Linked DNA regions of Macaca fascicularis. The protein of the gene in region 3 interacts with the protein of the main gene of each other region in a pairwise test. Links are inferred from orthologs where the notes say so. Each region holds a gene or a part of one and is shown on either strand. Other genes may lie near its edges.

Region 1 (4,908 bases), on a different chromosome or scaffold from region 3:
AGGGCAATACCCCGTTTTCTTCACAGGCACTCCTGAGGCACAAGAAATAAAAGATATATAAATAAGCAAAAATATCCTAAGAATTTGGACTTACACTGGTAAAAGTAAAAGATACTTGTTCTTTGATGGAGTTAAAAATTCCAGTCAATAACCTACACTAGGAATTGGCAAACTACAGCTTCGCGGCCAAATCTAGCCTGTCACCCATTGCTGTACAACTCTTGCACCAATAATAATTTTCACATTTTTAAATGGCTGTGGTCTTCACCACAGTGCCTTAGGGAATGGAGCTCTCTAAAATCAAATGAATACCTAATGATATTTAGGGAATGGAGCTCCCCAAAGTCAAATGAATACCTCATGACAAGTGAAAATGATACGAAATTAACATGAATGTGTCCATAAAAAATTGTACTTACTCATACTTCACGCTACAATAGCAGAGTTGAGTAGTTTCAACAGACTAGATGGCCTAAAAAAAACCCAACACAGTCATGCACTACAAAATGATGTTTGGAGGCCGGGCGCGGTGGCTCAAGCCTGTAATCCCAGCACTTTGAGAGGCCGAGACGGGCGGATCACAAGGTCAGGAGATCGAGGCCATCCTGGCTAACACGGTGAAACTCCGTCTTTACTAAAAAATACAAAAAACTAGCCGGGCGAGGTGGCGGGCCCCTGTAGTCCCAGCTACTTGGGAGGCTGAGGCAGGAGAATGGCGGGAACCCGGGAGGCGGAGCTTGCAGTGAGCTGAGATCCGGCCACAGCACTCCAGCCTGGGCGACAGAGTGAGACTCAGTCTCAAAAAAAAAAAAAAACAAACAAAAAAATGATGTTTGGGTCAATGAAGGACCGGTCAATGAAGGACCACATAGATGACAGTGCTCTCATAAGATTATAATGGAGCTGAACAATTCAAGATTCACCTAGTGACACTGTAGCTGTTGTAAGGTTAATGCATTATTCACATGTTTGTGGTGATGGTGGTGTAAACAAACCTGTTGTGTTGCCAGTTTAACACATACAGTTATGTATGGTACATAAAACTTGATAACAACAATAAACGACTATGTTACTTGTTTATGTATTTACTATACTTTTCATACTATACATTTTAGAGTGTGCTCCTTCTACTTATTAAAAAAAAAGTTAACTGCAAAATGGCCTCAGGCAGGTCCTTCAGGAGCTATTATAGAAGGCACTGTTATCACAGAGATGACAGCTCCATGCACGTTACTGCTACTGAAAACCTTCCAGTGGGACAAGATAGGGAGGCAGAAGGCAATGATATTGATAATCCAGACCCTGTGTAAGCCTAAGCTAATGCATGTGTTTGTCTTAGTTTTTAACAAAAAAAGTTCCAAAAGGAAAAAAAAATAAAAACTGGCTAGGTGCAGTGGTTCACATCTGTAATCCCAGCACTATAGGAGGCTGAGGCAGGAGGATCACTAAAGACCAGGAGTTCAAGGCTCCACTGAGCTATGATCGCACCACTGCATTCCAGCCTGGGCAACAGAGTGAGACCCTGTCTCTAAAAAATGAATTTAAAAATAGCAAAAAGCTGGGCCTGGCGCAGTGGCTCACACCTGTAATCCCAGCACTTTGGGAGGCTGAGGCGGACGGATCACGAGGTCAAGAGATCGAGACTATCCTGGCCAACATAGTGAAACCCTGTTTCAACCAAAACGAAGGTTTGCTTTATTATTATGTGCTTAAAAAAATTTTACCACTTAAAAAATAAGGTATTTAAGAACTCCTTGGACTTAAAATATATGTGGAAAAAATGTTCACTTGCTGAGTAACAGATCACATAATATTGAAAAGATCATATGTGAAAAACAGATCACATATTTTGAAAAATTATCTTGCACATAATACGTAAATATTCAGTCTTCCACCACACCATACGTACATTTATATTTATAATGATAGGCATTAATCACAGAAAATTCTATTAAGAAAAGGCACTCGCATTAGCACCTTAACTTCTTGCAGTGGTCCAGTGTCTTGTCCTTACACTGGATGACTCACAGTTTCCCCAGTTCTACCTTCAGGGAAACTGTATGCTGTTTCTGGACCTTTATTATTTGCACTATCATGCCCGTGCTGTTGTTTACGACACATACTAGCAATGAGCCATGCAGCCTATGAACAACAACTTAAAAAAACTTATCGTAACCCAAGCAAGATGAAGACTGGAATCAGAAAAGGCCTTATCAGACAAGTAATACATACTGGTTTAATTAAATACCCTGGAGTGTGGTGGCCTTATAAATAAGGTCTAGCCAACATTGATTTGTGCCTATTCCAAGACCCTGCTTATCAACGGTGCAACTATTTCTACATATATTTCTCTTCCTTTCATGCTGTAGAGCATACTGCTTGTGGGAAATGGAGGGAAGGCCAACGGTCCCGACAATGTTTGGTCAGAGCACCTCGTTCCAGGTGATCGCCCACCTTACTGCTGCATAGACCTGCTGTGTACCCCGATCCCGGCCAGTCCTCTAGCCCCTCTTCCCAGCACTCAGGACAGCGGATTTCACATGACCAAAGACCACCCTGTGACAACAGCGTCGGAACCACGGCACTTCCGCCTGCGGCCGGTGGGACTACAAATCCCAACAGCCCCGCGCAAGTCTCGCCCCATACCACCTCCTCCCAACACGACTCCCAGAACCCTCCGCGAGACGCCAGGGCCTCGAAATAGAACAAAACCGGCCGGTGGGGGAGGGGGAAGGTGAGGGTCTCGGAGGACACCGGGGGTTAGAGAGCACTCTGCAGACGCCGAAGACCCAAGCAAGCCTGCCGCCTACCTCTCCCCGCCCCACAACTGCTAGGCGCGGAGAGCGCGGCCTATTCCCCGCGCCTCCCGGGAAGCTGAGGAAGGTCCCGGGAAGGCTTCCCCGCCGACTCCTGCTAAGAGGTCCGCAGACCCTAGCCCGGTGTCCCCCTCCCTCCCATAACGTTCCCCGCACACCGGCGCAAACCTCTGGCTCAGGAACCGCAGCAGCTTCGCTGTCCACGGCAGACGCAGAAACACCGTTCACAAGCCTTTTCCCAGAAGCCCCCGGCACGGGCTGCTTCCGGTCTGCGGGCCTGAGGAGGCGGGGAGAGGTAAAGCCCACGTTGCCATGGAGAAGCTCCCCGGGCGGGGGAGGGGCGGCCCCACGACAATGACCGCATTGAGGCTGCGCTTGGCCTCGCGCCTCGAACAGCCTAGCGTCCTCTGGACCGTTTAAAAGAAAAGTAGAGGACTCTACCATTAAGATAGTCCTTACAGTTTCGCAAGCCCTTTCACGTGCATTATCTTGTGGATCCTCTAAGTAATTCCCTGCAAGAAGGAATAAAAGCGAGTATTTGTGAAAGCTTACTACATTGTGCCAGGCGCTCTCGTCGTGCTTTACATGTCATTTATTTTTTCACAAATAAATGATGTAGGAACTTTCATTATCCCCATTTCACAGCTGAGATAGTTGAGGCACAAATACAGTAAGTAACTTGACAAGAGCTCACAACTCATTTGTGGGTAGCAAGATTTGAAACCAAGACGTGATTCAAATCTTTGGCTCCCACTAGTTATGTCACGGAGCTTTATTCTGACCTATTTGTCAGGAAAACTAGATGAGACAGGTTAAGGGTTTTGGCAACGATGTCACGGTGAATTTGTAGAATGCATGGTCATCTTCAAGCTGGGCATTTTATACCATAAAACAGCTGCTGACGCAATCATTTATTACAAATCAGACCACTTCACTCCCCTATTTAAAGCCCTCCAATTTATGCCATAATAATTTATGACATAAAAACTCCTTATAATGTCTTGTAAGTCCCCCATGGTCTGTTGCCTGCCCGCACCCCCAGACCCTGGCGCCCCCAGTCACCTCAGCTCTTCAGCTCCGTGTGGCCCAAGATCCTCAGCCTCACCGCCAGCCTTTCATGACACATGACCCTTCATGGCACTATTATTAATGGAAGTGATCTCATTTATTTACTTGTTTTTTGTTTTGTTTTGCCTTTAAGTCCCTTAAGGGCAGGGACCTTGACTGTCTTGTTCACCACAGCATCCCAGCCTAGACCCCGGAAGCTGACTGCCTGGTAAATAGAGAACACAATAAATGTTTGTTGAATAAATAAATGAATTGTGGGATGGTTACATCGCTGCCTTTAGTTAGGTCACATGATTGGCATCAGACACCACACAAAGGAGCCCTGTTGTTTAAGGACTGGTCAAAAGTGTAGATCCAACCTAACATAAGCATTTCAAGTTCCTCAGGCTTTGACTTTTTGCCTCATTCGGGAAAATGCCCTCTGCAAAGTGCCGTCAGGCTCTGCTGGGTTCGTGCATGAAGACAGCAAGTAAGCCAGCAGCTGATGGTATACCATTGCTTTTCACTCCGACCAGAGCCTTTCTCACAACCCGTGCTAACACTTCTCTCTTCATTGCAGGAAGCTTCAGAAATCCAGCCTTTTCACTCTGCTACTTGGATACGGCCCCCAAGCAGCTTGGCTGCTCTTCCCAACTTTTCCCTCTTTTCTGATTCATAAAGGCTAGCTGAAGTCATTTTTGTTTTATGAGTTTTTACATCTAATTAGTGTTGGAAAACAAAAATCTCAAACGAAACCTTGGGGAAGTTAAAAATGTTGCAAAGTTTTACAAAACCTTTTCCTGTGATTATATTCTGTTTGTTTCTGTCACCCAGGATGTAGGGCAATGGTGCAATTTTGGCTTACTGTGGCTTCGACCTCCCGGACTCGGTGATCCTCCCACCTCAGCCTCCCGAGTAACTGGGCATTTTATACCATAAAACTGGTGCTGATGCGATTATTTAAAATTACAAATCAAACCACTTCACTCTCCTAATTAAAGGCCTCCATTTTATGTCTAATAATTTATCTTGAAATGCTTGTGGA
Region 2 (3,043 bases), on a different chromosome or scaffold from region 3:
CAAACTCCTGGGTTCAAGTGATCCTGTCACCTCAACCTCCTATCAGGGGACTACAGGCACATACCACCACACCCAGCCAATTAAAAATTTTTTTTTTGTAGAAACAGGGTCTCACTATGTTGCATAGACTGGTCTCGAACTCCTGGCCTCAAGCAATACTGCTGCCTTGGCCTCCGAAAGCTCTGGGATTATAGGCTTGTACCACCACGCCTCACGTACAATCGATTTTCTTAAAGATCTACACAGGGAAGAAATTTTTTTCTCTAGACCTAAGCCAAGCAAACAGAAGAGAAAGACTGAGGACATTTCGGACAGTAGCTAGCATCTTATCTGCATTAATCCAGTTCTCTGATGTGGCCTGGTACTCAGGATACAGATCACTTTCTAACACTGAAGTTGTGATAGAAAAACTCTGAGGGAGTTCCAGGTGACTAAAATGTAGAAATCTGATATCAGTATGAAGCATGACTTCGTAAAGAAATTGAGATTTGGAGTTAAAAGACAAGGTTTAACTAAAAAGATGCGATGTTTTAAGTTAACGTTAGGGGAATCTAGGTGAAGGGAATATGAGAACTCTATCTTTGCAACATTTCTGTAAGTCTAAAATTATTCCAAAATTAAAGCATTACTAAAAACAAAAGTTCAGGGTTTCAGCCTTGGCTCTGATGCCTGGATTTTCTGAGCCTTAGAGTCCTCACCTGTAAAATGGGATAATGATAACGCTCATTTCCCTGTATGGCTGTTGTGAGGACCAACTATGGTTAAGTAAGTGGACACACACTGCAGACACTGAAACACACAGCCCATGCTGGTCACTTTCCAAGGGAGAGTCACATAGGTATCAGAGAGAAGCAGTAAGGTGGAAAAGGTGTTTATAGTGTAGACCCTGGTCACGGGGAACACCAAAGACCCAATTGTTATAAACCATCAGTATAACTCTGTTATCCTTTGTAGTTAAACACAGACACCAAATCTTTCAGGCATGCTGGCTCTAGCAGTGCCATTTATTATATTATTAGAAGGGTTTAGCAGCCGTCTCAAAAAATAAATAAATAAATAAATAAATAATAAATAAGAGGGACACAATTAGTAAGAATAAGAAAGAGGTAAAATGAACAAAAGGGAAAACAGTAGCTTCAAACACCCAACTTTCCTTTTAGGAAGTCCCTGGGCCGTAAGTCATTATTTGTTTCAAACACACTTAATGGAGAAAGGAAGAGAGAGGCATTTTCTAACCTCAAGCTACCCCACATGACTTGGCTGGTGATCTGGAAAACTTGCTCATAGCAAGCCCTAGACCAGCTCAGCCAGTGTGTGGATCTTCTGATGGCGAATGAGGTTGCAGTGTCGATTAAAGCTTTTCCCACATTCAATGCACTGGTGAGGTCGCTCCCCTGTGTGGCTTCTCTGATGTTCAATGAGAAATGAACGCCGACTGTAGCTCTTACTGCACTGGCTGCACTGATACGGCTTTTCTCCTTTGTGGATTCTCTGATGCTGGATAAGACCTGCACTCTGACTGAAGGCCTTCCCACACTCCTTACAGTGATACCGTTTCTGTATATTGTGGATTCCTCGGTGATTAAAAAGACCAGAACTTCGACTGAAGGCTTTCCCACACTCATTACATTCATAAGGTCTTTCTCCAGTGTGAATTCTTTGATGTCGAATGAGACCTGAGCTCTGAGTAAAGCTCTTCCCACATTCATCACATTTGTGTTGCCCCTCTCCTAAGAGGTTTCCCCACTGCCTCTCTATCCTGTCCGTATGTTCACCAACTTCTCTATGTGGGGGATCCTGCTGTGATAGCTCCCAGGTCTGCTCATTAAACATTTTCCCATGTGGTTCCACTATCTTAGGACAGTCTTTCCTTAGCACCAACTGTATGTCCTCAGTCTTGGTTATTTCATCTGAAACAAAGAAAAAGTCTAGGTAAATGTCACTTGTTCCCTGAGCATATGGGAAGGTGACTATGTCTATAAAAATATATCAAACGAAAGCAAGTGGGCTAGAAACAGAAGGGCTAGTGTGGTAACACCTTCCCCTAGGTAAGGAGGAAAGTTTGCCCTCTTTGGCAAAATGCAGGTCAGTCCATCCCCACGTAGACTTCAACTGGGGAGTTGTTTTTTTGTTTTGTTTTGTTTTTTTGAGACAGAGTGTTGCTGTGGAGCCCAGGCTGGAGTGCAATGGTGTGATCTCAGCTCACTGTGGCCTCCACTTCCCGGGTTCAAGTGATTCTCCTGCCTCAGCCTCCCAAGTAGTTGAAACTACAGGCACGCACCCCCATGCCCAACTAATTTTGTACTTTTAGTATAGACGGGGTTTTGCCATGTTGGATATCCTGGTCTCGAACTCCTGACCTCAGGTGGTCCACCCACCTCGGCCTCCCAAAATGCTGGAATTAAAGGCATGAGCCACTGCACCCAGTTGGCAGTATTTTTTTATACTTTTTCATGGGGAGGGATGGGTAAAGATCAGGGTGGCTTCTCTGGAGTCTTCCCTTAGACCTCTCTCTCCTTTCTGAGATAACCTCAAAGTGACCCTTTCCAAGGAAAGTTACTTAATGTATTCATTCATTCATTTTCAGAACAAGTATTAAACTTCTACTATTCTAGGTGCTTCAGGCAGCACAGTAGTCCCCACTTATCTGTGGTTTTACCCTACAAAGTTTCAGCTACCCACAGTCAACCACAGTTCACATATACTAAATGGAAGATTCCAGAAGCAAACAATTCTTTTTTTTTTTTTTTTTTTTTTTGAGATGAAGCCTCACTGTCGCCCAGGCTGCAGTGCAGTGGTGTGATCTTGGCTCACTGCAACCTCCGCTTCCTGGGTTCAAGCGATTCTCCTGCCTCAGCCTCCTGAGTAGCTGGGAATACAGGCACATGCCACCATGCCCGGCTAATTTTTTTTTTTGTATTTTTAGTAGAGATGAGATTTCACCATGCTGGCCAGGCTGGTCTTGAACTCCTGGCCTCATGATCCATCTGCCTTGGCCTCCCAAAGTGCTGGCACTACAGGCGTGAGCCACCGCGCCTGGCAC
Region 3 (4,838 bases):
GCTGTGGAGGGAGCCTGGAAGGACTTCTCAGCCTTGAAACACATCTCAACCAGCAATGCTGCTGAAGCTCCCAGTGGAGCTGTTAGAAGCAGAGGAGCTGGGAGAGGAAAAGGCCTTGCTGCCCACACTTGGGAACCAAGTGATCCAGGTAGCAGGGGCCTCAAGCTGAGCTTCCAGGGCCAACAGGTGGCCTCTGAGGAAACCCCTGGGAGAGAAGGGACTTTGGGCATGTCCCAGGAAGAGTGTCTCCATCTGGTCTCAGGTGTGGGGGAGTCCTGCCACAGCTGGTCATCTTGTCCCCTCCCCAGCTACACGCAAACGTTCAAATCCCCAGGTTCTGGCTCAGGACCTCTGGGAGCAGCAAACCTCCCACCTGATTTCTCCGGAGGTGAGGAAGCCAAGCCCACCAGTTCCAGCCACTCTAAACTGCATTTTCATGGCTTGAGGCCCAAATCCTTTTTTTTTTTTGTTTTTGACACACAGTTTTGCTCTTGTTGCCCAGGCTGGAGCGCAGTGGTGCAATCTCGGCTCACTGCAATCTCTGCCTCCTGGGTTCAAGCGATTGTTCTGCCTCATCTTCCCTAGAAGCTGGGATTACAGGCGCCTGCCACCACTTCTGGCTAATTTTTGTATTTTTAGTAGAGATGAGGTTTCACCATGTTGGCCAGGCTGGCCTCAAACTCCTGACCTCAGGTGATCCACCCACCTCGGCCTCCCAAAGTGCTAAGATTACAGGTGTGAGCCACCATGTCCAGCCTCAAATCCTTTTCAATAATAGATCACCAGTCTGTCCCTCTGCCCCAGGGCCTGTGGAGGGGTACAGCTGTTACTCCACTTCTGGGCAGCAAAGAGTCACTAGCCAAGGAGCCTGGAAAACCACCAGGCAGAGGGCAGCCATGGGGACACTCCCTTCCCACACCTGGGGCCTACGCTTCCCACCTGGAGCGCTCACCTGAATCCTGGGAGGGTGGAAGGATGTGGAGGCTGCTGCTTGGTGTCCATGGTGCCCCTCAGGGGACTGCACTGCAAGTGGAGGGCTGGAGGGTGCTGAAAAGTGGGGCAGATGGAAAGGTGGTGTCAGGGGCTGCCCACATGAGCCATGGCAGACAAGGAAATCCTCTGCTGTGTGACATGGCACGTAGCCAGCCCTTGGCTCCTGCCTCCCAGGGCCCCATCCCAGACAGGGACATCCACATTCATTTCAGGAGTCCCGGCCTTGACACAACCTCTCCTGGGACTCCCACCCTAGCCAGGAGTGTCCACGCTTCCTCCAGGAACCTTCCATCCCGGGTGGACCCCAATCTCACCCATTTCCTGTCCATCGACATTGGGCTCCTCCTTCACACTGCAGCTGAGCTGGACAGACCCCTCTATTCTGGTGTCCTGGGGACCCTCTCCAGGGGACTCCACTGTCCCTGAGGGGTGGGGGCTCCCCAATGGTTCCTCTGTTTTCTGAGCTGCAGGGAGCACCTCCTGCTTCAGGATGTGGGCTGTGATCTGAGGAGAAGAAATAAGTCAAAAGGGTTCTAGCCAGGGTCTATCCCTCCAAGAAGCTGATGCCAGCCACACTCACCCAGCCCAACAGTTGCCCAGGGTCATGCTGTAGTCCTTCGACTAGGGCAGCGGCCTCCTCAGGACTGCCTGGCCGCTGACCGCGCACCCAGGCCTGGATCTCGGGAGGCAGTGTGCCCAGAAACTGCTCCAGCACCAGCATCTCCAGCATCTGCTCCTTGGAGTGTGCCTCAGGCTGCAGCCACTGGCGACACAGCTCACGCAGCCGGGCCAGGGCTTCTCGGGGACCTGCCACCTCCTGGTAGCGGAACCCTCGGAAGCGGAGGCGGGCAGTCTCAGGCTCCTCGAGGGCAGTCTCTGGGTCCATGAGGGGCAGGCATGGGGGACCCAGAGGGGATGGCATTTTTGCTCAAGGGGGTGGTCTTGGAATCGTCAAGATGGGCCTAAAGAAAAGGAAGGGTCAGAATGTCAGCCAAGAGAATCTGGCCAGGGAAAGGCAGACACCAGGCCCCGCCCAGGGAGCTGAGACCAGGACCAAGTGTACTCTGAGGCCAGAGGAGGTAAAGCCAAGAAAGCGTCATGGAAGGAGGAGGGTCACGGGAGCTAAACAATGATGGCAAATGAGGGCAGGAGGAAGTCTCGGGGACAAATGCTTGGACGCAAGGTGTCCAAGGAGCTTCCCGGAAATTGCAAACAGGTCCAATAGGTGACTGCTGGAAGATGACGGTAAAGAGGTGGAGAAGAACAGTCATCAGAGTTCCAGGGCCAGGCTGAGGAGCCACAGACAGTGCCTAGCCGAGGTGGGAGGAGAGTGGTCCAGGGAGGCAGGGGCTAGAAGGTGGAGCCAGGCTGTAAAGTATGGGGGCAAGTCTCCCTCCACAATCTCGGGGATGTTGACTGGGTGGGACCTCCCTTAGGACTGGCTCTGGGGAGGGGTCACGTGGGGCGTATGGGGCAAGGCAAGGGCCGATGTGGACACCGTGCTCGCTGACCACAGCGAACCGTGGATGACTCACACTGCCGGGACCCGTGCATGTAAAAACGAAAGGCAAACGCCAAGAAAAACGGGGCCAACGTTCCACGTTGCGTGAGTCGAGGGATGGCCACAGCATCCCGGCCCTGAAGGTCTGGAGTGAAACACGCCCACCTGGACTGGCCTGAGAGACCAGGCCTGATACCCGGCCTATCCGAGGGATGCTCGAACTTCGGGGTCTGTTTCCCAAAGGGGAAGGCAAGAGGGAGGTGTTCCAAGAGGACGTGCCCGGGCCGGCCCCCCGGAGCGGTGTTGAGGGGGAGGAAAGGCCCGTGTGAAGGCTGAGCCAACGCGCGGGGCCTGTCGGGAGGTGGGCGGGCCCCCAGGGCGCCGAGAGCAGGAGCTGTGCGGGCCCGAGGGCGGCCCCAAACCCTCCCACGGGGTGGAACGGCTGCGCCGCCTCTGGAAGCCTGCGCTCACCTCTACCCCGGAGCCGTTGCTGGGAGGCCGCTTCCCGGAAGCGGCGCCGCGCAACGCGGGGAGCCTTAGCCGGGAGTTGCCCCGGCGACGCCGCGCCGACCAATCTCTCGCCTGCACCGAAGGCACCACCCACGCCCTTTGAACTACGTTTCCCATGAGCGTCCGCAAGACAGGGGCGGCCGTGGCCCGCGGACTAGCATTTGCAGCAGCCGCTGACGCCTGAGAGGCGCTCTGTTCCTCTAGGAGGTGCCGCAGAGACCGCGTTATGTGGACTCCCTCCGCCCTGGGAGCAGCTCTCCCCATGCTGTAAACCCGCGCGTCTGTACAGTGCACCGGTTCCTATTGGCAGGTGAGGAGAGAGGCAGGAGGTTTTACCCAATCAGAGGGGGCGCTTGCTTGGCCCTCGCCGCTCCCACGCCATTTCCCGCGGGCAGCCCCCAGAAAACAGGGCATATCCGCCCGCCTCCAGCTGTTCCCATGGCAACCTTCAGGCGCGTTGCCTCGACTTCCGAAGAGGCTGGAAGTGGCGGCCCAGTGGTTTCCTGGGTCGAGTAGTTCGCTGGCGCTTGCTTCCAAGTGGTCCCGGGAGAGGCGGTGGTGTGGAAGACCACCCTGAGCCTGGGCTTTCTCCCGGCGGGAGGGTGCGAGGGCCGCCTTTGACCTGTTAAGCGCCCTGAGGAGGTACCGACGGTTGTGACCGCAGTCTCTGACGTCTTCAGATGTCAGTCCTACAAAGTTGGGGGCGGAAGTTTCCCTCCAGGCTGATGGGACGTGCTCAACTGTTTATTTCCCTTTTATTTAATTTGGGGAGCAGAACTAGACAGGGTGACACTAGTGTCTCCCAATAAGCAGTGTTAGTTTTCTGTATCTGTGGGGTCAGTTTTGCTTCCACACTTAAAGTGGCCGAGCCATGAATTATTCAGTCCTAAATTACACCGCCTGTTTTGGTTGCTTTGGATACCTGGGAATCCCTGCTGCCTGCTCCGGATGAAAAGCAATGGCCTTAATCGCTGATTGGAAGCACTGAGCATGTGCGTGGGTAAGACCTGTGAACTCGGAGCTTTCCAGAGGCGGCCTCAGGTTGTTTTTGGGGATGAGGTGCTTAGGTCTTTTTTCTGGGACTATGCGTAGTCTCAGAAAACAAAAAAACTTTCACCCTCCACCAGGTGGGGAGAGCAGTGGGGCGTTAAGGGCTTCTTCAGTAGCTGTTCCCCAGGCAGCTTTGTTATAGGTCTCCCGTCTCTGGGCTGCTGGTTCTCAGCCTTCTGCAGTTCTGGAGTCAGCCTGGTGGGAACTCTCTCCACTTCCCCATGCCGCCACGCAGTATTTGGCCTTCCCTAACGTAGTGACAGCTCTCATCCATGTCTAGCTTAGGCATGCCATTGCTCCTGACTCCTCTTTCACCATCCTCATACTTGTGGGTTTATGTGTTTTAAATACTCCCCTCTGGTTTCAGTGGATTTCTGAGCCCACTGAGATGCAGGTGTTCAGTCTGACCTTTTGACCTAGAAGCCCGGAGATACTTTTACAGTCACTACCTACTCAAAAGTAAGAGCAGAGAGGGAGGTTGGAGGGAGGTCAGCTGAGGGGCCAAGACCTGCGTGGAGGCGGGAGCCTAGGCTGGGGGCCACTGACCAGTCATGGGTTTGGGGAGGGGGAGATTGGAAGAGGGTGGACAAACTGAGGGACAACAGGGGCACAAGCAGATACGGAAAGGAGCCTGATGGAGGGAGGAGGCTGGTGGGAAGACAAGGTAGGGCACTGAGCCCAGCCTGAGGGGTCAGGCGGGCTCAGGGCAGAAACTTTGTTCAAGAAGCATCTATCAAAGGCACAGAAATGATTTCATGTAACTCTCTGGGTATATACTTGACAG
Region 4 (4,959 bases), on a different chromosome or scaffold from region 3:
TACCCCCTCTACAAAAAATTAAAGATAAATTAGCCAGGCATGGTGGCATACACCTGTAGCCTCATCTACTCAGGAGCCTGAGGCGGGAGGATTGCTTGAGCCTTCCACCATTGCAGTTCAAGACCGCAATGAGGCTATGATTGTACCACTGCACTCCAGCCTGGGCAACAGTGAGGTAAAGGGATATAGTGTTTGCAACTAACTCTCAAATGGTTTGAGGAAAAAAAAAATACTGTATGTGTGTATGTATGTATGTGCGTGTATACATGTACATATGCATATTGGGGGAGATGCACTTCCTTGCACAAGTGTGTACACAACAATGGGACTTCATGAAACAGATGTTAACTGGCAAATCTGGATGAAGTTTACAGGAGTTCTTTATTCTTCTAATACTTCTATAAATTAGAAGTTATTTCAAAATAAAAAGCTAAACATCAACTGATACATGTCCCCCTGTTCTTCTCCCGCACCACCACACACATTTTCTTCCCACCTGTTGTCCTGTGTCTCCACTTCCTGTCTCCAGATTCTCCAGCACGGTCACTGCCTCCTCTCCACTCTCCAGAAGATATGTCTTCACACAGGGCTGGAGCTCCTTGGGCAGGATGGTCAGGAACTGCTCCAGCACCAGCAGTTCCATTATCTGTTCCTTGGTGTGCATCTCGGGTCTCAGCCATTGATGACAAAGTTCTCGGAGTTGGGCCAGAGCTTCCCGGGGTCCATGAGCCTCCTGGTAGCAGAACTGCCGAAAGCGCAGGCGGTAAATCTCCTGAGTGTAGGAGCTGCTCTCCTGTGAGTTGCACACCTGCTCCCAGGTGGGATCTTCCTCCTTCACTTTCACAAGGCCATCTTCATTTTCAGGAGCAGGGCCTGGCAAAGCTTCATACATGTTGAGTTTAGAGGCTAAAGCTTCACTTAGCTTGGGGGTCTGTGTTCAGAAATAGAGATCTGAGGCATAAGAATTGATCAGCAACACACAAATTCTAAGACCTTCAAAACTGTATGTAATCTACTTATATTTTTGTACCCACTGTAGGTAGTGCTCAAAAGCTGAGCCTGCTTCCTTCTATTTCTCAGTGAAATGAATCAGAAGTATGTTTTGAACTAGTACTAAAGGGTCTGAGTCCAGAGGTAAGGGATGTAGGATATGAGGGAAGAAGCGTTAGCAATAAGAATGCTCAAGAAGCTTGCACTTTAGCTGGGGAGAAGGGATCATTTTACCCATTGAGGAGGCAGATGGCTGCCTTCATGGGCAAATAATACAGTCTCAAAGGTCATCTATATCTGTGTAACTCTCACTGAATATTCCGCTTTAAATGTAGGTGTAATAGACTGCTTCCAAAGTCTCCCATCCTCAAATACCTTTTGTGATGAGATTTTGCCACTGTTCTCATCAAGGGGTGGAGTCTATTTTTCCTTCCCTTGAATCTGTTCTGGCCTATGACTTGCTTTGACCAATGGAATACGGCAGAAATGACATTGTAAGAGAGAGAGTGCTGCTGTAGCTCTTGGTTCACTGCCATAAGACTGCCATGCTGTGAGAGGCCCAAGCTAGCTAGACAGAGGTCATGTGGATGAGAACCAAAATGACCAAGCTAAAACCCAGCCGGGCCTAGTGCTCAAATAATTCACCAGCGGAATGCAGCTCTATTAGTAACTCCAGGTGAGACCAGTAGAACTACCCAGTCAACCTGCAGAATCCTGAGGAACAATAAGCTGAGCTTGTTTTCAGCCACTAAGTTTAGAGTTTGATTTTTGATGCAACAACACATAACTGAAACAGTAGAAATGCATCAAGTTCTTTTCTTCCCTCTCTTCATTTTTTCCTTTGTGATCTCCTTAGTCACACTTTCAATATATCTCTGTTCCCAAGAAGACTCAAATCTTTGGCTCCAGCTTGCTTTTTGCACTCCAAACCCACATCTTGAAATGCCAGCAGCTGTGGGCTTCTCCTGCACTATAATTTCAACAGATCTCAAACTAAGATCAGAGTTCCTCAAAGCTGCATTCACTCCGTATTTCTCCATTTCTACTGGCATCACCATCATCTTCCATGCATTCAGTCTTTTAAACAGCCTCTATATACAATCAGTGAATCAAGTCAATTCTTAAAAATGCCTCTTGCAGCCATTCTTTCCTTATTATTTTACTATCATTTTCATTCACTGTCACAATAATGTTATGGTATTCCTGCCCAATTCCCCGCTTCTATGGTCACTGGATTAATATTCCCTAAAGCACAATTCTGACCATATTCAACATACCTTACACACACATAAACACATACAAAGTTTTCATTAAACTCGTTGAAGTAAACTCAAACTCTCCAGGATCTAATCTTTACTGGATTTTGCTGATTTGTTTGTCACTCAATAAACATTTGTGGAGCATCTCATTGTTTTCCAGGCATAAAGCTAACTCTGGAATAAAAGACTTAGTTCCTACTTTCAAGAAAGCCATGGTCTTCCCAAATTCCTTATCTCACTGCCATGCTAAGTACTCAATTTTTTTTCCACCCACTCTATACAGTCAGGACCCCCCTTCTAAGGGTAAAATCCCAAGGGCCAGCGCAAATGTTCTATGTGAAACCTTCCCTGGCCACCCCTAACCCTAACATATAGACAGGAAAAGTAAGCCACACAGATAGAGATGGGTGTTCCCATGGAAAACTGCTCCCAACCTTCATCTCCTCCATCTCGTATTACAGATCACCCAGCCCATCCCCACCCGGGTTCTTGAGGACAGGAGTTTATCTCTGCATAGACTCTACAAGCCCGGCACGTACCTGGTATTCAACAAATACTGATGGACTTCTTCACGAATGCACGTAAAGCACCTGAGATGCCAGCAGCCAGCACCCTCAGGCGCACCCCAGAATGTATTTTTCTGAGATTACACCCAGCATCTAGCACCGCGCCAGGCACTGAATACCTGCGTGTCTAATTGTTGGTTAATGGACCAAAAGTTCAGGAACGCGCACAACAAAGACGTAGCCGACCTCGTGAAAGGCTCCCGAGGGAGCGCAGAGGCCCGGGGCTGCCCAGTCGAGAGCGCCGGTTTCCCCAGAGCCCAAGCCGTGCTACTGGCGGGCTGGCGGGGCTGATGGGTGTCGCCGGCGCCTCCGGCAGCTGGGCCAGCACAAAAGCTTCTCCACTCGCCGCGCCCGCAGCCGAGTGGCGGAGTCTGGCGGGTTCCTTGCCTCTCTAGGAGCACGGCCGCTCGTCTCTCTGGTGATCCGGGAGGACCCCCACTGCCACCTCCCGCCCCGCCCAGGTCGCTCTCCGCTGCCGGACCTCAGGCCCATCCGGACGGTGCAAGCACGCCCCACATTTATGTACATCATTTCAATAAAAAACCAACAGAGTGGTAAATGTCTGTCTTCGGGGTCATCACTGGTTAGGAGGCGAAACAGATCAATTAAAAGACCATTATAGTAAGCTGTACAAATTATTTTAAGTATACATAATATACGTACAATAAAAAAGTCAAGTTGCAGAAGGACCATAAAACGAAAAATGTCCCACTCTTTAGAGTTAACCATTGTATTTTGTGCATATTTATCTAGGACACTACCTGTCACACAGTAGCATGTAATAAACATTTTGTTTAGTGAATAAGCATTTATACATTTAAAAACACTTATGGTATCATAATGTAATTTTGCACCTTAGCTCTTTTCGGTTAAGACAGCTTGGAGATCTTCACAGATCAGCTTATTCTTTAACAGCTAAGTAATATTGTATGGGTGTTCCATAATTTACTTAACTATCCTATTGATGCATACTTAGGTTATATTTTTTCTTTAAAAGCCATGCTAGAGGGAACATCATTCAATACCTTTACATTCTTTTAAGAATGTATTTCTAGGATAAATGCCACATATTAGAACTGATCAGCCAAAGGACATATGCATTTAAAATGTTGATATGCAAGTTCCCTATTTGATTTTTAAGGGCACTTCTGTTTAAGAGTAAAAGGAGACTTTAGTAGAAAAATCAGTAAAGGATATGAATGTTACTATACACAAAACAAGGTAAGTGACAAATTAACATGTGAAAAGATGTTCAATAGTAAAAATATAAAACACTCTTTTAAAAACAGACCCATTATTTATTCATTTACCCACTGAGTTTTGGCAATTATGAATAAAGCTGCTATAAACATCTGTTTATAAGAAAACAAGAAAAAAGAAAAAGAAAACAAGAAAAAAATGAAAAAAATGAGCTATCGAGGCATGAAAAGACATGGAGAAAATTTTAGTGCATACTAGAAAGTGAAAGAATCCAATCTGAAAAGCTACATATTGTACGATTTCAACAACAAGTTGAGTATCCCTTATCTGAAATGCTTGGGGCCAGAAGTGTTTCCAATTTCAGATTTTGGAATATATACATACATTATGAAATATCTTAGGGATGAGGCCCAAGTCTAAACATGAAATTCATTTGTTTCATATATACCTTACTCACATAGAGCTAATTTTATACAGTTTAAATAATTCTGTACATGAAACAAAGTCTTTTTTTTGAGATTGAGTCTTGCTCTGTTGCCCAGACTGGAGTGCAGAGGCACAATTTTGACTCACCGCAATCTCCGCCTCCGGGGTTCAAGCAATTCTCGTGCCTCAGCCTCCCGAGCAGCTGGGACTACGGGTGCGTGCCACCACACCCGGCTAATTTTTATATTTTTAGCAAAGATGGGGTTTAGCCATGTTGGCCAGGCTAGTCTCAAACACCTGACCTCAGGTGAGGAGCCTTGGCCTCCCAAAGTGCTGGAATTACGGGCTTGAGCCGCTGTGCCTGGCCGAAACAGTTTTGACTGCATTTTGTCTATGACCTGTCACATGAGGTCAGGTGTGAAATTTTGCACTTGTGGCATCATATTGGTGCTGAAAAGTTTCACATTGTAATGTGTTTTGGATTTTCAGATTGGGGTACTCCACCTGTATACATGACA
Region 5 (4,778 bases), on a different chromosome or scaffold from region 3:
AAGGGACTCAGACCCTGATAACAGCTCACAGCCCCTCAGGGAACAGGAGAAAACTGCTGATGCAAAAGCCATCACCTTAAAAACCACCCCAGTGTATAGTGTGTGGTGTGCGCTCCCCCAGATCACCCCTGCTACTCCCCGGGCTGCATACCTGGATCCCCGCTGAGCTGGCTTGGTGCTCTGCTTGGGAGCCCCAGGCACTGTGCCAGGGCTATGGGCTGGGCATCCTGGCTCTTTGCAAGGTCGCTGTGGGGCTCTACCGGCAGCTGCTCCTGCTCCTGGTCCAGAGGGCTGTCCCCATCATCAATCACCACAGGGTCTTCACAGTGCTTGAGCTGCAATCCCAGAGAAAGCTTTTCAGAGCTAGGCAAAGAGGTCCCATCTCTCCCTGGGCCTGGTGACCATCCACTCCACAGCTGCCCACCAAAGGCTCCACTTAGGCCTTGGACTGGGCCGTAAAGGGGCATGACACCATCATGCCCAAATTAGAGGCTTCAGGGAGTAAAACTGGCTTTCTCAGGAAACTCTAGTCTGGTCCTAACCAAAGTACACGGCTCTCAGTGGAATTCCTCATTCCCCGGCCAGTGCATGCATGGCCCAGTCAAAATGTCTAAGCACCAGATCTCTACCCGTCCAGCCCCACCCCTTCTACTCACCCACTGCCAGGGTCTCCCGGGCTCCCGTTCCAGTGCCTCCACCGCGGCCACAGCCTGCTCTCCGCTCTCAGGCTCCTGCGCCCGCACCCAGCTCTGGATCTCCCGGGGCAGGATGGCCAGGAACTGCTCTAGCACCAGCAGCTCCAGAATCTGCTCCTTGGTGTGCCTCTCAGGCCGCAGCCAGCCCCGGCACAGGTCCCAGAGGCGTTGCAGGGCCTCCCGGGGGCCCGCCGCCTCCTGGTAGCGGAAACGGCGGAAGAGGCGCCGAGAGGACTCGGGACTGGGAAGCTCCCCTTGGGGGCTAGGGTTCTCTCCAGGTGGGCTCCTCATTTTCCTGGGCTCCTCACTTTCCTTCGGAGCCAAGACTCGGGGGCACAGGGCTGTGGGCATGATGGGATTTGATGGGGGTCAGCAGCAGAAGACGACCCTATTTCCAAACAGAAATCACTGGCTTCAGTGTTCTGGTCTCCTGTGGTCATTTCTGGGGGACAGTGACAAGGAAACTGTCAATGCCCTCAGAGACCAGCCCTTTGGAGAAGCCCTGGGAAAGGTAGGGAGTGTCGGTGTGGCTGGTCTTTACACACAGAATGAAACAGACAAAAAGATACCCTCCCCCCATCAGTACCATTACGTGTGGACTCCCGTAAGCGGGTGACTGGATGAACAAGGCAGGAAATCTGGGAGAAAGTGGTGGCATTTCAACGTGACACTGGTGTTTTGAGCATCCCAGGAAACCAACAGCGCCACATGCAGATGTAATCAAGACTCTCTGGTACCTTAAGCGGCTGGGTCCTCCGGGAGACCCGAGATGGGCAGGCCAAGCAGGCCACTATATTGAAGCTCCGCAGCCGAAGTCACTGTTCTTGTTCTCAAGACCTTTACAAATAGAGCTGGAAAGACAAAGACAGACATGCATCGGATGAGCCTTCCAGCACATCCAGGAATGGAAAATCCATCCTGCTGGTGGCAGAGGGCTGATGGTGCTCAGTGCTGGATGGACAACCCAGCCAGAATCAGCTTTGCCCAACAGAGTCTGCAACGGGAGGCAGGGAAAATACCCAGACACAGGGAACATCACATGAGACAGCCACATGCAGTCCACGGGGGACAAATAACACTGCATTTAGAAATATCAGTGGTTTCCTATGAACCTTCTGCCAACACTTGCCTGACGTTCAACCTCGCCTCCACCCTCTTGTCTATCCTTGACCTCTTCAAACCACATTCAAGGCAACGGCACACCCGCGAAAGCCGTTCCTCGGCCAGGACAGGAGAGTGGGTCCGTCACGGCACAGCTCAGCCCTCAAAGAACCCCTGGACACTGCAGCTGCCACACCCTCAAGGTGGGCCTCAGGGGTCCCTCCACCTCCCCGCTGGTGTGCAGACAACTAGCCGACACATACAGGGTGGCAAAAGAGACCAGCAACCAGTATACCTGGCTGGTGTTCATGACTCCCACCCTAGAACACTGACCCGTGAAAGGGCACATGGGGACACTCACGGTGCCCTTCTCTGCCATCAGGCCTCTGTGATCCTTAGGACCGGCAGTGCCTGCCACTCCTCCATCTGCAGGAGGTTGTCCAGCGTGGCCGCGCCTTATCCTCCAACAGCTCACAAGGGGGACTCGGGCCTCACTCCCATTTCACAGGAAGACAAGTGATGCCAGAAAAGCTACGAAACAACTCAGTGGTTCCAGAAACACCCACTGCTCTGAATCTCCTTGCTTTCCAAAGTAACAACACATACAGAAACGCATATGGGGGCCGTGGAGGCGTCGGGCTGGACGCATTACAGGGCTCCCCACCACCGGATTCCCTTCCAGGGCGGCTCCGGCATCTGGAGCCCGGGGTGGGCCCCGCCCGCCCTGCTCGGCGGCCCCCTGCGGCGCCCATCACACACCTGCAGCGCCCAGGACTACTCAGGTCCGCCCCCCCGGAGCACCGGCGCCCACCCGGGCTGCCACTCGGATCGTCTCCAACCAGACGGCCCCGTCCGTCTTTGTCACGGCGGCACCTGGCGCGTCGGAGGCTCGGAGGAGACGCCTGATGAATGAACTAACGTGAGTGAGGCGGAGGAGGGCCCCGCAGGGGCGGAGCGAGCTCCCAGCCGTTCGCGGAGGAGGGACCGAGCCGGATCGGCAGAAGGGGAAGGAGAAGGTCGCTGCGGGCCAGGGAAGGGGGAGCGCGCCCTCCGCGCCCTCGGTCTCCCTCACACGCGCGTCTCCCGTCTCGCCGGCTCCGGGGCTCCTCACCTCACAGCCCGGAGCTCCCTCCCGGCGTCCGGCCGAAAGCCCTCCTGTGGCGGCGGAAGTCCAGGGCAGCCGTCCTCATCCTCCCGGCCCGCCCGGCCGGGCGTACTCGCTGAGGCGGCGTCTCCGCAGGCGCCCGGCTCCTTTCCCGGCCCGTCCAGACCGCGTCTCCCGATCATCCGGAACGCCACGGCTCGGCTCGGGGGCAAATGGAGGCGCCTGAAAAACAATGGTGTTGCTTTCTCCCCCGCCCGCACCTTCCTGAGCGCTGGGCTCTGGGCCGGGAGGCGGCGCCGCGGAGGCCGGGCGCGGGCCGAGGAGGGCGGGGCGGGGCCGGCCGCGGGAGCCGGGGTGCACTCACCGCCGCGACTCGTCCCTGTTGGCGGGCGGCGCAGGCCTGGCCACTGCCGGAGCCCGCCGGACGCCGAGGAAAGGAAAGGCCGGAGCCCTCCGGCTCCCTCCCCTGGGACACTTCCTGCTCCGCTCTAGGACCGGGGAGGTCTCCGCATCTCAGTGGTTCGCTCCCCCGCCCCCCGGCCGAGGTGTGCGCTGGGGGTGACATCCGACACCCCCGGCCCGCCCAGCTCCGCGCGCGCCTGGGCCTGGCCGCCGGGCCGGGGGCTTTGTGGGTCAGCCACGTCGCCGCGCCCGGTCCTCCCCGCGGGCCCGCCGGTCCGGAAAGTCAGCCCGGGGCTCTTTTCTCCGCTGTTCTCCTTCTCCGGCGCCCCCAGGACACGCGGGCCGGTGGACGCCCGGAACGGCCGACCGGGAGGCGCGGCTGGGATGGAAGCTGGAATTGGGGGTGCGGGATGGAGCGGAGGGAGGAGGCCCCGCGCGCCGTCGGCCGCCTCATTTCAGACGCCCCCTGCGAGCCCCCGCCAGCCGAATTCCGGGCCGCCCAGCCCCTCCCGTCGCTGCGGGACGCCAAAGGTAGCGCTCGCACCCGCGCCTTCCGGGCCTGGCGCCCACGTGCGGAGTCCCCGCGTTAGGAAAGGCCGCGCAGCCGGAGGCCACTCCGAGCCTCGGGACGACCCTGAGGGATGCGCAGGGGGTCTGCCGTGAGTCCTGGCCCTGAGTGGGGGTCACGGGGCTCGCAGAAGTGAACACGGTTACCGCTGTGCGCAGTGGCGGAGGGAGAGGATGAGGGACTCTGACCCAAGGTCATGTGGCAGTGAGGGGCAAGCAGGAATGAGGGCCTCCGGACCCCACCCTGAGACAGGGCTGCTGGCTGCTACACTGTGCTGAATATAGCCCAAATTCTGACATGGGTCGTCCCCGGGGAGTGGTCATTTTTCAGGCTCCAGAGCTTGAGAGAAAGTGTGAACCCGGTCCCTGGGCAGGCCTGATTCCCATGGCCCCTTCTCCATCTGCTCTGCACCGAAATTGGATTCTCCCACGCAGAAGGGGAGAAGGTTCTCCATCTTCCAGAGGGTAGCTACTGCCCGTTGCTCCGATTTCCTTAGGATCCCCTTTCAAGGGCAAGCAGAAGGAAATCGGTTTCCCCAGAGAAAGTGGCCCGGCTGAGTAAGTGGGGACAAGGTGGTTGGACTGAGGCACAGGATCCTTTAGCTCTGTTACTCTTCTAATCCCGTGGCCCTGGGCACCACCACTTCCTCCTCTGAACTGCTGGAATAATCACTTCTGAGTAGCAGAGTTACTGGGAGCCGCTGTTTGTCAATGTTCACATTCTGACTTTAGCAGGAGATGGACCAAGCGAAGGAGTGAAGCCCTTGTTTGTGAACAGTGATTGTTTCCCAGATGACAGCCAGATGCCCGGCAGGGCCACACAGATTTTAGCTGGAGCCTACAGGTGCAAGGAGGAGCCACCCCCTTTGACTTAACTGGACTGACATTTACAGGACTCATGTACAGCC

What was found.
Region 1: the proteins of ZNF446 (region 3) and ZNF24 interact in binary tests that used the Homo sapiens proteins (3 or more experiments, as listed by UniProt). The link is inferred for Macaca fascicularis from reciprocal best matches to the Homo sapiens genes ZNF446 and ZNF24.
Region 2: the proteins of ZNF446 (region 3) and ZSCAN9 interact in binary tests that used the Homo sapiens proteins (3 or more experiments, as listed by UniProt). The link is inferred for Macaca fascicularis from reciprocal best matches to the Homo sapiens genes ZNF446 and ZSCAN9.
Region 4: the proteins of ZNF446 (region 3) and PGBD1 interact in binary tests that used the Homo sapiens proteins (3 or more experiments, as listed by UniProt). The two-hybrid records come from large-scale screens. The link is inferred for Macaca fascicularis from reciprocal best matches to the Homo sapiens genes ZNF446 and PGBD1.
Region 5: the proteins of ZNF446 (region 3) and ZNF496 interact in binary tests that used the Homo sapiens proteins (3 or more experiments, as listed by UniProt). The two-hybrid records come from large-scale screens. The link is inferred for Macaca fascicularis from reciprocal best matches to the Homo sapiens genes ZNF446 and ZNF496.

Annotation. Positions count from the first base shown.
Region 1 is NC_088392.1:54,500,408-54,505,315, reverse strand, and holds the start of ZNF24 (zinc finger protein 24), read right to left. Parts: upstream 3,072-4,908; 5' UTR 2,975-3,071; exon of another isoform or gene 2,370-2,974; intron 1,083-2,369; exon of another isoform or gene 33-1,082; 5' UTR 1-32. UniProt on the Homo sapiens protein: Transcription factor required for myelination of differentiated oligodendrocytes. Required for the conversion of oligodendrocytes from the premyelinating to the myelinating state.
Region 2 is NC_088378.1:144,967,998-144,971,040, forward strand, and holds the end of ZSCAN9 (zinc finger and SCAN domain-containing protein 9), read right to left. Parts: intron 1,911-3,043; coding exon 1,294-1,910; 3' UTR 975-1,293; downstream 1-974. UniProt on the Homo sapiens protein: May be involved in transcriptional regulation.
Region 3 is NC_088393.1:66,204,051-66,208,888, reverse strand, and holds the start of ZNF446 (zinc finger protein 446), read right to left. Parts: upstream 3,412-4,838; 5' UTR 3,341-3,411; exon of another isoform or gene 1,956-3,340; 5' UTR 1,916-1,955; coding exon 1,574-1,915; exon of another isoform or gene 1,498-1,573; coding exon 1,308-1,497; exon of another isoform or gene 1,048-1,307; coding exon 953-1,047; exon of another isoform or gene 1-952. UniProt on the Homo sapiens protein: May be involved in transcriptional regulation.
Region 4 is NC_088378.1:144,898,986-144,903,944, forward strand, and holds the start of PGBD1 (piggyBac transposable element-derived protein 1), read right to left. Parts: upstream 3,209-4,959; 5' UTR 2,789-3,208; intron 952-2,788; exon of another isoform or gene 932-951; 5' UTR 893-931; coding exon 497-892; intron 1-496.
Region 5 is NC_088375.1:1,752,908-1,757,685, reverse strand, and holds the start of ZNF496 (zinc finger protein 496), read right to left. Parts: upstream 3,347-4,778; 5' UTR 3,266-3,346; intron 3,124-3,265; 5' UTR 2,908-3,123; intron 1,547-2,907; 5' UTR 1,433-1,546; intron 1,084-1,432; 5' UTR 1,047-1,083; coding exon 657-1,046; intron 336-656; coding exon 152-335; intron 1-151. UniProt on the Homo sapiens protein: DNA-binding transcription factor that can both act as an activator and a repressor.